2 linked regions of the Danio rerio genome follow. The protein of the gene in region 2 interacts with the protein of the main gene of each other region in a pairwise test. Links are inferred from orthologs where the notes say so. Each region holds a gene or a part of one and is shown on either strand. Other genes may lie near its edges.

The links.
Region 1: the proteins of abtb1 (region 2) and eef1a2 interact in binary tests that used the Homo sapiens proteins (3 or more experiments, as listed by UniProt). The two-hybrid records come from large-scale screens. The link is inferred for Danio rerio from reciprocal best matches to the Homo sapiens genes ABTB1 and EEF1A2.

What each region holds. Positions count from the first base shown.
Region 1 is NC_133198.1:17,397,292-17,403,177, forward strand, and holds part of eef1a2 (elongation factor 1-alpha 2), read right to left. Parts: intron 1,893-5,886; 5' UTR 1,845-1,892; coding exon 1,701-1,844; exon of another isoform or gene 1,697-1,700; intron 1-1,696. UniProt on the Homo sapiens protein: Translation elongation factor that catalyzes the GTP-dependent binding of aminoacyl-tRNA (aa-tRNA) to the A-site of ribosomes during the elongation phase of protein synthesis.
Region 2 is NC_133183.1:8,648,826-8,654,711, reverse strand, and holds part of abtb1 (ankyrin repeat and BTB/POZ domain-containing protein 1), read right to left. Parts: intron 4,879-5,886; coding exon 4,780-4,878; intron 4,596-4,779; coding exon 4,428-4,595; intron 457-4,427; coding exon 256-456; intron 102-255; coding exon 1-101. UniProt on the Homo sapiens protein: May act as a mediator of the PTEN growth-suppressive signaling pathway. May play a role in developmental processes.

The DNA.
Region 1 (5,886 bases), on a different chromosome or scaffold from region 2:
AATAAACTTACCTGTGGGTTTTAAACAAGTCTGAAGGACTTAATTAGTTTGATTAGGTGTGTTTAGTTAGGATTGGAACAAAGCTGTACAGAGCTACAGCCCTTCAGGAATTGAGTTTGGCACCTATGATGTAGTTTGTTTTCAAACATGTACATGTTTGTTTTCTCTTGAGGATTATTTACATAAGGGGTGTCAAACTTGGTTCCTAGAGGGCAGTAGCCTTGGACAGTTTAGTTTCAACCCTGCTACAACATTTACCTGCAGGTTTCAAACAAGCTTGAAGGACTCTATTTTGATCAGGTGTGTTTAATTTGGGTTGGAAGTAAAATATGCAGGCCTGCGGCCCTCCAAGAACTGAGTTTGACGCCCCTTTACATAGTGTTGCATAGTGTGAAATACCACAACAGTTTAAAGACACAAAATCATATAATGTCGTCTGAACGCCACAGTGATATTTAAACTAGGCTTGATGTGTAAACTAGGTTTTCAGAGTCCATACATTACATGCTTCAAATCAACCCAGTTGATTATTTTAGTAATATGGCTTTTAACAATTTTACAATAAGAAAGATGTTGGTTCAAGACCATAAGATTCCACTATACTATGCCTCAACTTTTCGCCAACTGTGTAAATCTTTAGAATTAATCTCTTCTTAACTAAAACAATTATTTTGTCACCCGAAAATTAGTTTGGAGACTAAACAAATTATCTGAAAACAGTTTTCAGATTGAAAGCATGTAAGATCAAATCCCAAAATAGTATACCTTGTGCAACTTCATCCATATCCCATGTTTACGAATTGCTTAACAGCAATCCAACATAGTCCTTCTCTGGCTAAGTTTCTTGTATATCATAGATAGGCAACCTTTCTTGGTGGGCACTGTTCTGAAGAGTTCAGAACTATTCAGACGCAACTGCTTGCAATTTTTAAGTCTAACCTAAAGACACAGACAGGGCCTTTATTACTGGTTTACAATGCAAGTCCAATTAGAACCACTTATTTGATAAACAAAACTACAGCAGCTGTACTTCCACTAAAAGGCTTAAAATATTACTTTAAAAATTGTATTGTACATACATTGTTTAAACATCTGAATAATATTCAATAAGACAACTGACCTTAATATAAAAAACTGAAAAATATATACATTTACACACATTTACATATGCAAATAAAAATAATGTTTCATCCAAGTTACTGAAGTACCTAACCCAACAGCCCCAAGAGCCTTGTTTTTACACTGTTTTACCACAATTTTGCTACATGAAGAACAAGCTACCCTCAAAGACAGAGCTGCAAGACCCATTGGGATTAGACTTATTCACTTGGGTCTCTGTTTCCCAGTTTAGAGAAGGTCAAGGAGACAGAAGTGCAGGGCCCGACTAATGGTTCAGTCTATTCTAGAAATCCATTTATCTTTCCTTTCATCTCCAATATGGCATCTTCCTAAGAGTAAATGTCTCAATGTAATTACTCTCCAGTTCATGAGCGGAGATGAAGGTGTAGTGTGGTGCGCAATGAGACTTACACAAATATGCCACACTGTAAGTGGGTTGAAATTACCCATACTTTAATAGAGACCACGATTCTCAGAACGCATTAAGAAAATTTACAATACCAATGATGAGGTCACTCGAATTCAAAATGGAAGATGCAAGTGAACTCATAGAAACTCAGCCAAAAATCATATTTACCTACCTCAGCTGCCTCTTTCTCAAACTTCTCAATGGTTCTTTTATCAATTCCTCCACATTTGTAGATGAGATGCCCAGTGGTGGTTGATTTCCCAGAATCAACATGGCCGATCACCACAATGTTGATGTGGATCTTCTCTTTCCCCATGTTGACTCGGGGCGGCAAGAGAGAACAGTAAGAGGTGCTTTCTTCTGTCTGCAAAAAAAAGGCAAAAGTAAGGCAAATAACATTAGTACATATAGAGGCTGTTTACACCTGGTCACTTCATAATTTTATATAGCTATCTGATTATGAAATGGGCATGCCCGCAGAAAGTCATTTAAGAAGTATTTTAATCTAAACGCTAAAACCACTTCAGGAGGTGGTCTGGGACTGCTTCCAGATGAAACTGTGGAGGTCTAAATGCATCTGGTTGTTGAAATCACATGTAGTGGTAGTGGCTTCATTTCATTTCATTTTCTTGTCGACTTGGTCTCTTTATTAATCCGGGGTCGCCACAGCGGAATAAACCGCCAACTTATCAAGCAAGTTTTTACGCAGCAGATGCCCTTCCAGCCGCAACCCATCTCTGGCAATGTAGTGGTATCTTCCTTCTTCCAAAATGTAAAAAAATACATGAATAAACATGTGAGAGCATAAACACACGTACAAATAGCCTACATACATTACGAAATCATTCGTATGCCAAATAAGACATATACAGGGTATTTTAGATATCAAATTCCCACATTTTTCCCTGACTAAAAAGCTTAATTTCCATGATTTATAATGAAGGAAAAATCAGAATGCTGTTGTGCTTTGCATAAGTTTAAAAATGTTTAGCTTGAAAATCCTTTTGAAGGAGTTTAATAGCCACTATGAGAACAACAATAAATAATTTACTTCTGTTTTTAAGAAAATAAATAAAATAGCTTCGAACTGCTCCCTCTCCCATATTTGATGGCTTAATAATAGTTTTACGAACTCTACATTTAGTTTGTATTTCATCTACTTTTTAAAACCCAGTCTCTGATGTGGTAATTTTAAAGCCAAAACTCAAAAATATATATTATCCTGACATGTTTGCCTTACTTAACAGGTACGATCCGGTGATTGCGGTTGACGGAACTGACTGCCAGTTAGAATGAATTAGAATAAGAATGAAAAAAAAAACAAATAAAATGGAGTTTAAAAGTATCATGATCGTAAACATTTTGTTTTTAAAAATATATACTCAAAACTTTGTTCAAACTACTTATTTAAAATACCTTGAAACAACAATTTCTTTAAATTTTACTGGGACAACCTAAGTGTATTATGTTAAATCCACTTAAATTAGTAAAAACTAATTTTCTTAAAGGAATTAAGTTAACTTAATTCCTTCATATTGTCGCAACACAAATCAATTGTGAAACCCAGCAGTTTTTACTGTGTGCTATAGACAAAATTCCATGCACTGCTGGAGCTCTGTATTTAGCTTTTCTGTAACAAATAATGATAAATAAATTAAATGTGGTGTATCTGATGCTTTAGTTTAAGTAACTTGCCTAGTTAAGTTTGCATAGTGCAGGATTTGAAATTCTGATTTACAGTTAGTCAGAATTATTAGCCCCCCTTTGAATTTTTCTTTCTTTTTTAAATATTTCCCAAATTATGTTTAACAGAGCAAGGAAATTTTCACTGTATGTTTGATCTTGTTTTTACTTATGGAGTAAGTCTTATTTTTTTGCTTTAATTGGGCTAGAATAAAAGTACTGTTTAATTTTTTAAAAGCCATTTTAAGGTCAAAAATGTTAACCCGTTTACGCTATTTTTTTCTTTGACAGTGAACAGAACAAACCATCGTTATACAATAATTTGCCTAATTACTCTAACCTGCCTAGTTAACCTAATTAACCTAGTTAAGCCTTTAAATTGCCCTTTAGGCTGTATAGAAGTGTTTTGAAAAATATCTAGCAAAATATTGTTTACTGTCATCATGGCAAAAGCGCCTTTCACACAGTGATACTGGTAAATATCTGGATAATTTTCGGAACAACTTTACCGGTAAATTCCAAAAAAGCGCTGTTCACACAGGCGAGGCGTTACGGAATTTTTCCAGAAAACACCGTTCACACATCCATTCCAAAATACCGGTAAATTCTGACATCATTCCCCACAAATGAGCTTTAAACGCCTGCGCTTGTATTTGTAAACATTTGACTACATTACAAACTCTGTGGATGATCAGTATTGTGAACAACTTTGATGAAGACATATGGAGGATCACTTTCGCATGTCGAGATGTTCATAATATGTGTGTGCTGGCGTTCACGGCTGTTTCACGAGCACACGCTAAGCTTGAAGGTAAACAAACAATGGTTTATCATAAGCATCTTATCGATGATTATTTACACAGTTGGCATTAAGAAGAACATATAAACGTTATCTAACTAACTTATAGCAGCTAAATGCGTCGTGGAAAATATTCAAAGGCTTTTATTCTCATAAACCGCGCAAACATGAATGCGTCTCACTGTTCGGATTGGTTAAAGCAGACGTCTCACGTCAGCACGTTCTAGATGTGCACATGCTCTTTCCGGCAATCTTCCTTCTGCAATTACACAGCGCTGCATTCCGGCAAATTACAACTTCTCTTTCCGGAAAATAGTCAGAACGAATTTACCGGTATTTTCAAAAAGGACCTGTTCACACATACAACCTTTCCGGAAAATTGTCGGTAATTTTACGGAAAGGTCTGTATGTGTAAAAGGGGCTAAAGATAAATATTAATCAGTTATTACAGATGAGTTATTAAAACTATTGTGTTTAGAAATGTACTCAAAAAAATCTTCTCTCCATTAAACAGAAATTGGGGAAAAAATAAACAGGGGCTAATAAATCAGGGGGGGCTACTAATTCTGATTTCAACTGCATATTTAATCAGCAGAGACACATTTATGTGGCCAAACGTAAATGAAACCATTTTCACAAAAAAAGATACTGTCCAATCAGAGAAAATGTAATACATAACCAGGTGTAAACAGGCCCACAAACATAAACTTAAACATTCAGTATTAGGGTATGTTCACTTGTAGTATTGTATTCTTGGTTTGGACTAAGAAAATTGGGGAAGAAAATCATGATACATTTAATCCTTGTTCGGTTACCATTCACACTATCATTTGTAAAAATGAAATTAAACATAACAAAAAGAATATACTTTTAAGGCATTGAGAACTTGAGAAAACTGTCGTAAAGGAGTCAAAAGCTCACCAGGGGTCTGTTCTTCGTAGCCCGCTTAAATGATCTAAGATGATTTTTACTGATCATGGATCTGTTCATCTTGATAACTGATTTCTGGCTAATTTGGTTCTTCAAACAAGTTTGTGAATCAGATTAGAATGTCAGGTTGGACTGATCTGAGATCGCTGTGTGTGTTGTTAAGGACTGATCTATCGATCCTCGAAATCATGATCAGCTATGCAACGATTGGCTGATGGCACAGAGGCAAAATGACATCATCTGATTAATATCCAATTATCCATGTGAGCTAAATTACATAAAATTCGGTTTGTTAAATATGATATGCAATAACTTTACACCTTGTTGTGGGCTGCATGCTTGGCCCTTTCATGCATCAAGAGCAGTTTATTTAGTTTTACAGTTAGAGCGGATTTTCCTTATCATAGTAGTATTACAGTAGCCAGTTTTTTAATTGGTGTAAAGAATACCTGGATGTTTACAAAAACATTTTGGTATTGGTAAAGGCGTCAGCAACTTTTATGAAGCATCAAATCACTGTCATATTAGCTGTCAAAACATGTTTATGACTGCATAAATGTATTATTGCTTTTAAAAAAAGTCACATACTGTGCATTTCTATTATCATACACAGATTGTACTAAAGCGATGTAAAAAGTTCATATCAATCGGTTTTGTCTTTGCAGTCTTTGTACTTTCATTTCGTTGGTGCAGATTGCATTTTATATATATATATATATATATATATATATATATATATATATATATATATATATATATATATATATATATATATATAAATATCAGATATCGGTACTTTCTGTATTATCTTTGCTTGAACTGAGCTGATCTAATTCTGTTTATATGGATTGAACCTGCTTCCGACCAAGTTTAAGCTACCAGAACTGTTATGACAACAACTCTCGGATCAGTTTGTAATACATAACCAATCCTGGATCATGTCAAA
Region 2 (5,886 bases):
CGGATCTCGTCCACCAGAGGAATGGAGTCCGTCTCCTGTCTGGCGGCCACATTCCCAGCATCCTCTCTGATCATGTCGGCAAACTCCGGCCTTTCAACGAGCTGAAACAAACAGGACTTTTATTTCTGAGCTCAATCACACTAAAAATACAAATTATAATATGACTGCTGCAATATTTAAATGGTTAGTTCACCTATATATATATATATATATACATGCATATAATGATAGTGATGTGCATTGTGTGTGCAGTACCCTCTCGATGATCTTGGCCATGTGTTCAGTGCACTGGTCCTCCAGACGGGACAGTCGGAAGAGTTTGGCTGTTCTCCACATGTGCAGCACGTTCTCCTCATTGAGCAGCGCCGCCAGAGTTCGGCCACACAGACGCTTCAAACCCGGCAGCAGGTACATGTCGGCCACACACAACACCTCATACACATTCTCATGAGACAGCTGAAAAACACAAATACACAGGTTCCCACGCTTTCATGAACAGCAGATTCACACACTTTTAAAGCACCATTCATTTTAAATCAACCACTTCTATAATTCATACCCCAGCATGCAGCTGATGTTAGAATGATTAGCCCTCCTTAGTTATTTGCCCCCTGTATATATTTTTCCCCAATTTCTGTTTAACGGTGAGATTTTGTTAAAAATAAAAACATTATAGTTTAATAACTCATCCCTAATAACTGATTTATTTTATCTTTGCAATGATGCCAGTACATAATATTTCACTAGATAGATTGATATTTAAAGGCTTAACTAAGTGACGTCATTGTATAATGATGGTTTGTTCTGTAGACAGTCGAAAAAAATTTATATTGCTTAAGGGGCTAATTATATCAACCTTAAAGTGGTCTTTAAAATGAACAACTGCTTTCATTCTAGCCGAAAAAAAAGAAAAAAGAAAAAAAAAGAAAAACTGCTTTCATTCTAGCCGAAATAAAACAAACAAGACTTTCTCCAGAAGAAAAAAATATTATAGGGAATACTGTGAAAAATTTCTTTGCTATGTTAAACACCATTTGGAAAATATTTGAAGTTTAAAAATCTAAATATATCCTAACTGACAAAAGTATGGATAGAAATTTATCAATGTAAATTATCATATGCTTGTTTGTTTTAGCTAATGTAATGTATATTTTAGTATCATAAATATAATAACAATAATATAATAATATATTTATTTTATTAAAATATGATACAGTACTGCTATTAAAATGAAGTATTAATATTTTAAATCAAGCAATGTATTTTATTGAACACATTTCACTTCACTTTTATCTCAACATTCATAAAAAATATATATATTTTAATGCTGGAGAGTTATTTACTTTCCCACATTTCTGCTAATTTCTGCTAATAGTTCATTTATGTCCTTCTGATAACAACACTGAGAAATATAGTGTTTATCATAGGGCCCTTTCAGACACCCGGCGCAATAAGGCGTGATTTGTTGCTATTTTCAGACCAGCGCAACTGTCAATTTTTGCACCACGTTGTTTAAATAGCAAATCCATTTGTGCCACTTTTGGACTTGTGTGTGCTGGTCTAGAAAGATAGTGTGTTAAGGCACATTGCTGGCGTGTTGCCATTTTCAAGAACTGAAATAGACTGCGCCATTGACCAAGCAAAACCTGGGGTCTGTTCTTCGTACCTGTTCATCTTGATAACTGATCTCTGGCTAACTTGGTTCTTCAAACAAGATCGCCAATCAGATTAAAATGTCTGGATGAACTGATCTAAGATCGCTGCGTGTGTTGAAGGACAGATCCATCGGCACATCAGCGTAATGACATCATCTGATTCATATTTAATTATACATGTGAGCAAAATTACATAAAATTAGCAGTAAGCAATTTGTTAAATATGACACGCAATAACTCTCCACATTTGTTCTGAGCTGCAGGCTTTACACTTTCATGTGTCAAGAAGAGTATTCATCATGTATTTCAATGCAAATCAATCTATTTAGTCCTACATTTAGAGAAGATTTTCTTTATTATAGTAGCCTAGGCCTACTCAATTTTTTTAATAGGTGACAGGAATAACTATATTATTATTTTTGCATCAAAAAAGCATTTTGATATCAGTAAAGGTGCCTGCAACTTTTGCAAAGCATCAAATCACCTGCATATTAGCGGTCAAAACTCATGCATGACTGCATACATTTTTTAAATAAGTCAAATATTGTAAAGCATGTAGACATTTGTATCTAAAAAGTACATTTTAATACATTTTCTCTTTGAACCACTAGGTGGCAATGTTTTACTTTTATTTCAGAGTGCAGATTGCATACGTTTTATTCATATATATATATATATATATATATATATATATATATATATATATATATATATATATATATATATATATATATAGTTAAAAATATATATTTACTTTTTTCCTAAGTGAATATAACTATGTCGAAGCAGTGGCGCAGTAGGTAGTGCTGTCGCCTCACAGCAAGAAGGCCGCTGGGTCGCTGGTTCGATCCTCGGCTCAGTTGACATTTCTGTGTGGAGTTTGCATGTTCTCCCAGTGTTCGCGTGGGTTTCCTCCGGGTGCTCCGGTTTCCCCCACAGTCCAAAGACATGCGGTATAGGTAAATTGGGTGGGCTAAATTGTCCATAGTGTATGAGTGTGTGGGTGAATGAGTGTTTATGAATGTTTCCCAGAGATGGGATGCGGCTGGAAAGGCATCCGCTGCATAAAAACGTGCTGGATAAGTTGGCGGTTCATTCTGCTGTGGCGACCCCGGATTAATAAAGGGACTAAGCCGATAAGAAAATGAATGAATGAATGAATGAATGAATATAACTACTGTAAGAAAATATCAGCATTTAGTACTTTCAGTATTTTCTTTACTTGAACTGACCCAAACTATTCCTGTTTATATGAAATGAACCCGCTCCCAAGTAGGTTTAAGCTACCAGATCTGTTGCTATGACAACAAGTCTCAGATGAGTTTTGAAGAACGAAACGATACTGGATCGGGTCAAATCGTCAATATCAAAATCCAGCTAACTGAGTAATCCACGTACGAAAAACGGACCCCAGGTCTAAAGTCCAGTGCAGAGTCTATGCAGGTCCAAACACTTACACATTGCTTAATACACACAGGATGTACAGCAATACACAAATATCTTTACAAATAAAAAAAATAATTAAAGGATTAAAATGTTACAAAAACGATTATTTTCTAAAAATATACATATATATATATTCTTATTTATAAATATAAATATAAATAAATAAAAATATAAATAAATAAAATATAAAAGCAACTGCCTCCATGCCTTCTTCACCTTGGGGGGTGAACTTTTTTTAGTTTATTCACGACAATCTGCATTTGTATAATGTTATTATTATTATTAGTAGTATTACTTATTATATGCCGATTTATATTTGTTTGAATAAAAAACAAGCTTAGATTTGTCCTCCTATCAGGTTTTGGAGACATATTGTCATGATTACCAGCGATCTAACCACCAGAGATGGCTGGCAAACATTCATTCTCACATGAACTACAAATCTGCCATGTTATGGACTACAACACCCAGTCATGCCACTCGCACACACAACCGGTTCCAGATCCAGACTGATTACACAGCAAACAGGAAACAAAGAAAAACACGTACATACAGACAGCAACAGCTAAAAAATACTCAGCACATGTGTGTGGAACAGATGGGTTTAAATAGTCCAAATAATCAGTGTGAGCAGCTTCAGCTGTGAGTATGTAATCAGTCTGGAACCGGTTGTGTGTGTATGGCATGACTGGGTGTTGTAGTCCATAACATGGCAGATTTGTAGTTTATGTGAGAATGAATGTTTACCAGCGATCTCTGGTGGTTAGATTGCTGGTAATCATGACACATATGATCACCATATAATAACAAGACGTGTGTTTGGGTATAACTCAGTTGTTTGACCTCACTTCGTTATTATTGCTCATTTATTTGTTTGCTGTAAATTAGAACTGACTTTAGAAATAGTTTTGAAACAAACCTTTGAATTTAACAAGCTAAATTAAATAGGTAGGCTAATGGATGTCTTCAGTGGAGTGCGTACAACACCATTTCCTTACTCCATGAAAGTAAAGGAGTAAAGAGATAGTAAGAGGCTAAATGGAGGAGGCTCGTTCTTTATCCTCATGCTGCAGATGCACTGTTTAACTGTTTTCTCGCTAGTAAAGCTTGTTACGCTCAAAACACACCAATAACTGATTAAGAGAATAAGCACAGCCCTGTTAGACCATGCGCTGGGGTGCAAACTGTATTTTTCCACCCTTAAAATAGCAAAAGTACATTTATACATCCACTAATGCTTTTACACCATGCGCTTTAGACTTTGCGCCTAGATCATTAAAATAGAGCCCAGTGTCTGTAACTGTAAGTGTGTGTGTGTTTGTGTACCTGAGTGTTGTCACTATAAATGTAATAAAGGATTCTTGTAAACAAATCATGGGACACATCATGAAGCGTGATGACAGGAATACTGGGATGAGTCTGTAGAGTTTCTCCCTCGCTGAAATGATCCTCCAACAGAGCCTTAAAATAATCACTGCGGCCACAGAAAAACGCCTGCAACACACACACATACACAATCAATTTTAATCAAAACCACTAATACAATATTAAAGCAGCATCATTCTCATAACTAATTCTGAGTAATAGATGGATATTAGAACATTGTTTTAGAGAGCCATAATGCTGTTCAAGCATACACAGGCAGGGATTATGATTATAAGTATTAATAAATAGTGACCTTATGACATAGGAAGTCATAACCCTCCACCCGGAAGCAGATGTCAGGATAACTCGGGAAGCTGTCAGTAAGATCGAATGGAAGCTGACCGTATCCGACCTGAAAATCAGACAGCAGTAGTTTCAATTAGTCACAATATAAAACACATGTTCAGTGAAGGAAACAAAAACATATGTAGTATAAGAGTTAAGAGATGAACAAATTTTATTATTAACCATTATAATGCAATGAAATCCATTCTGACCTGTAAGGGATGCATAAAAATTGTCTAAAATCTGCATAGTTTTAGCAAATAAACTACTAGTTATTTACAATTTTTCAAGTTTTTTTTTTAAAGATTTTGAGTTATTTTGTACATGTGTATGGAGTGGCGGTTAATAATGTTTGCTAAATTATCTATGAAGTTATGTTAGCTTCAAGCAACTGTGGTCAATTAAATTTAGCATTTTCCCCACATCTCACACACTTTTGGAACTGATTAAATTTTCATTTGAATTATTTTACAAATATTTCCCTGCTGAGATGTTTTAAAAACATTTTAATAAACAACTTCTAGCAACTCATATCTTTTGTCTTTGCCATGATGACAATACATAATATTTAAAGAGCAATTTAAAGCCTTAACTAGGTTAATTTTGTAAGTCATTGGATAACAGGGGTTTTTGTAGTTAAAAAGAAAATTCTTAAGAGGGCTAATCATTTTGACCTAAGCTGTTTTTTTATAAACATCACTGCTGAGATATTTGGAAAAGAATAAAAATTTCAAATGATTACTTATAATTTTGCTTTCAACAGTTTATCACATTTTGACAAAACATTAAAGCATTAAACTTTTTTCTTAAAATGAAAGTGAATATTTTTGCAATCAAATTAAATTTCGAAACTGTTTAAAGGTTTTAGGTTATTTCAATTTCAACCAATTTCTCTTCTGTTTTTAATTTTTAAGATCAATAATTTATTCAAATTATGAAACATAATAAACATGAAACATATTAAAAATATATACATAATACATATACATACAAATATATATCAAATATATAAGTAGATGCCATGAAACCGTCTACTTGTACAAAAAAATATCAATAAATAATCAAATTAACTAGA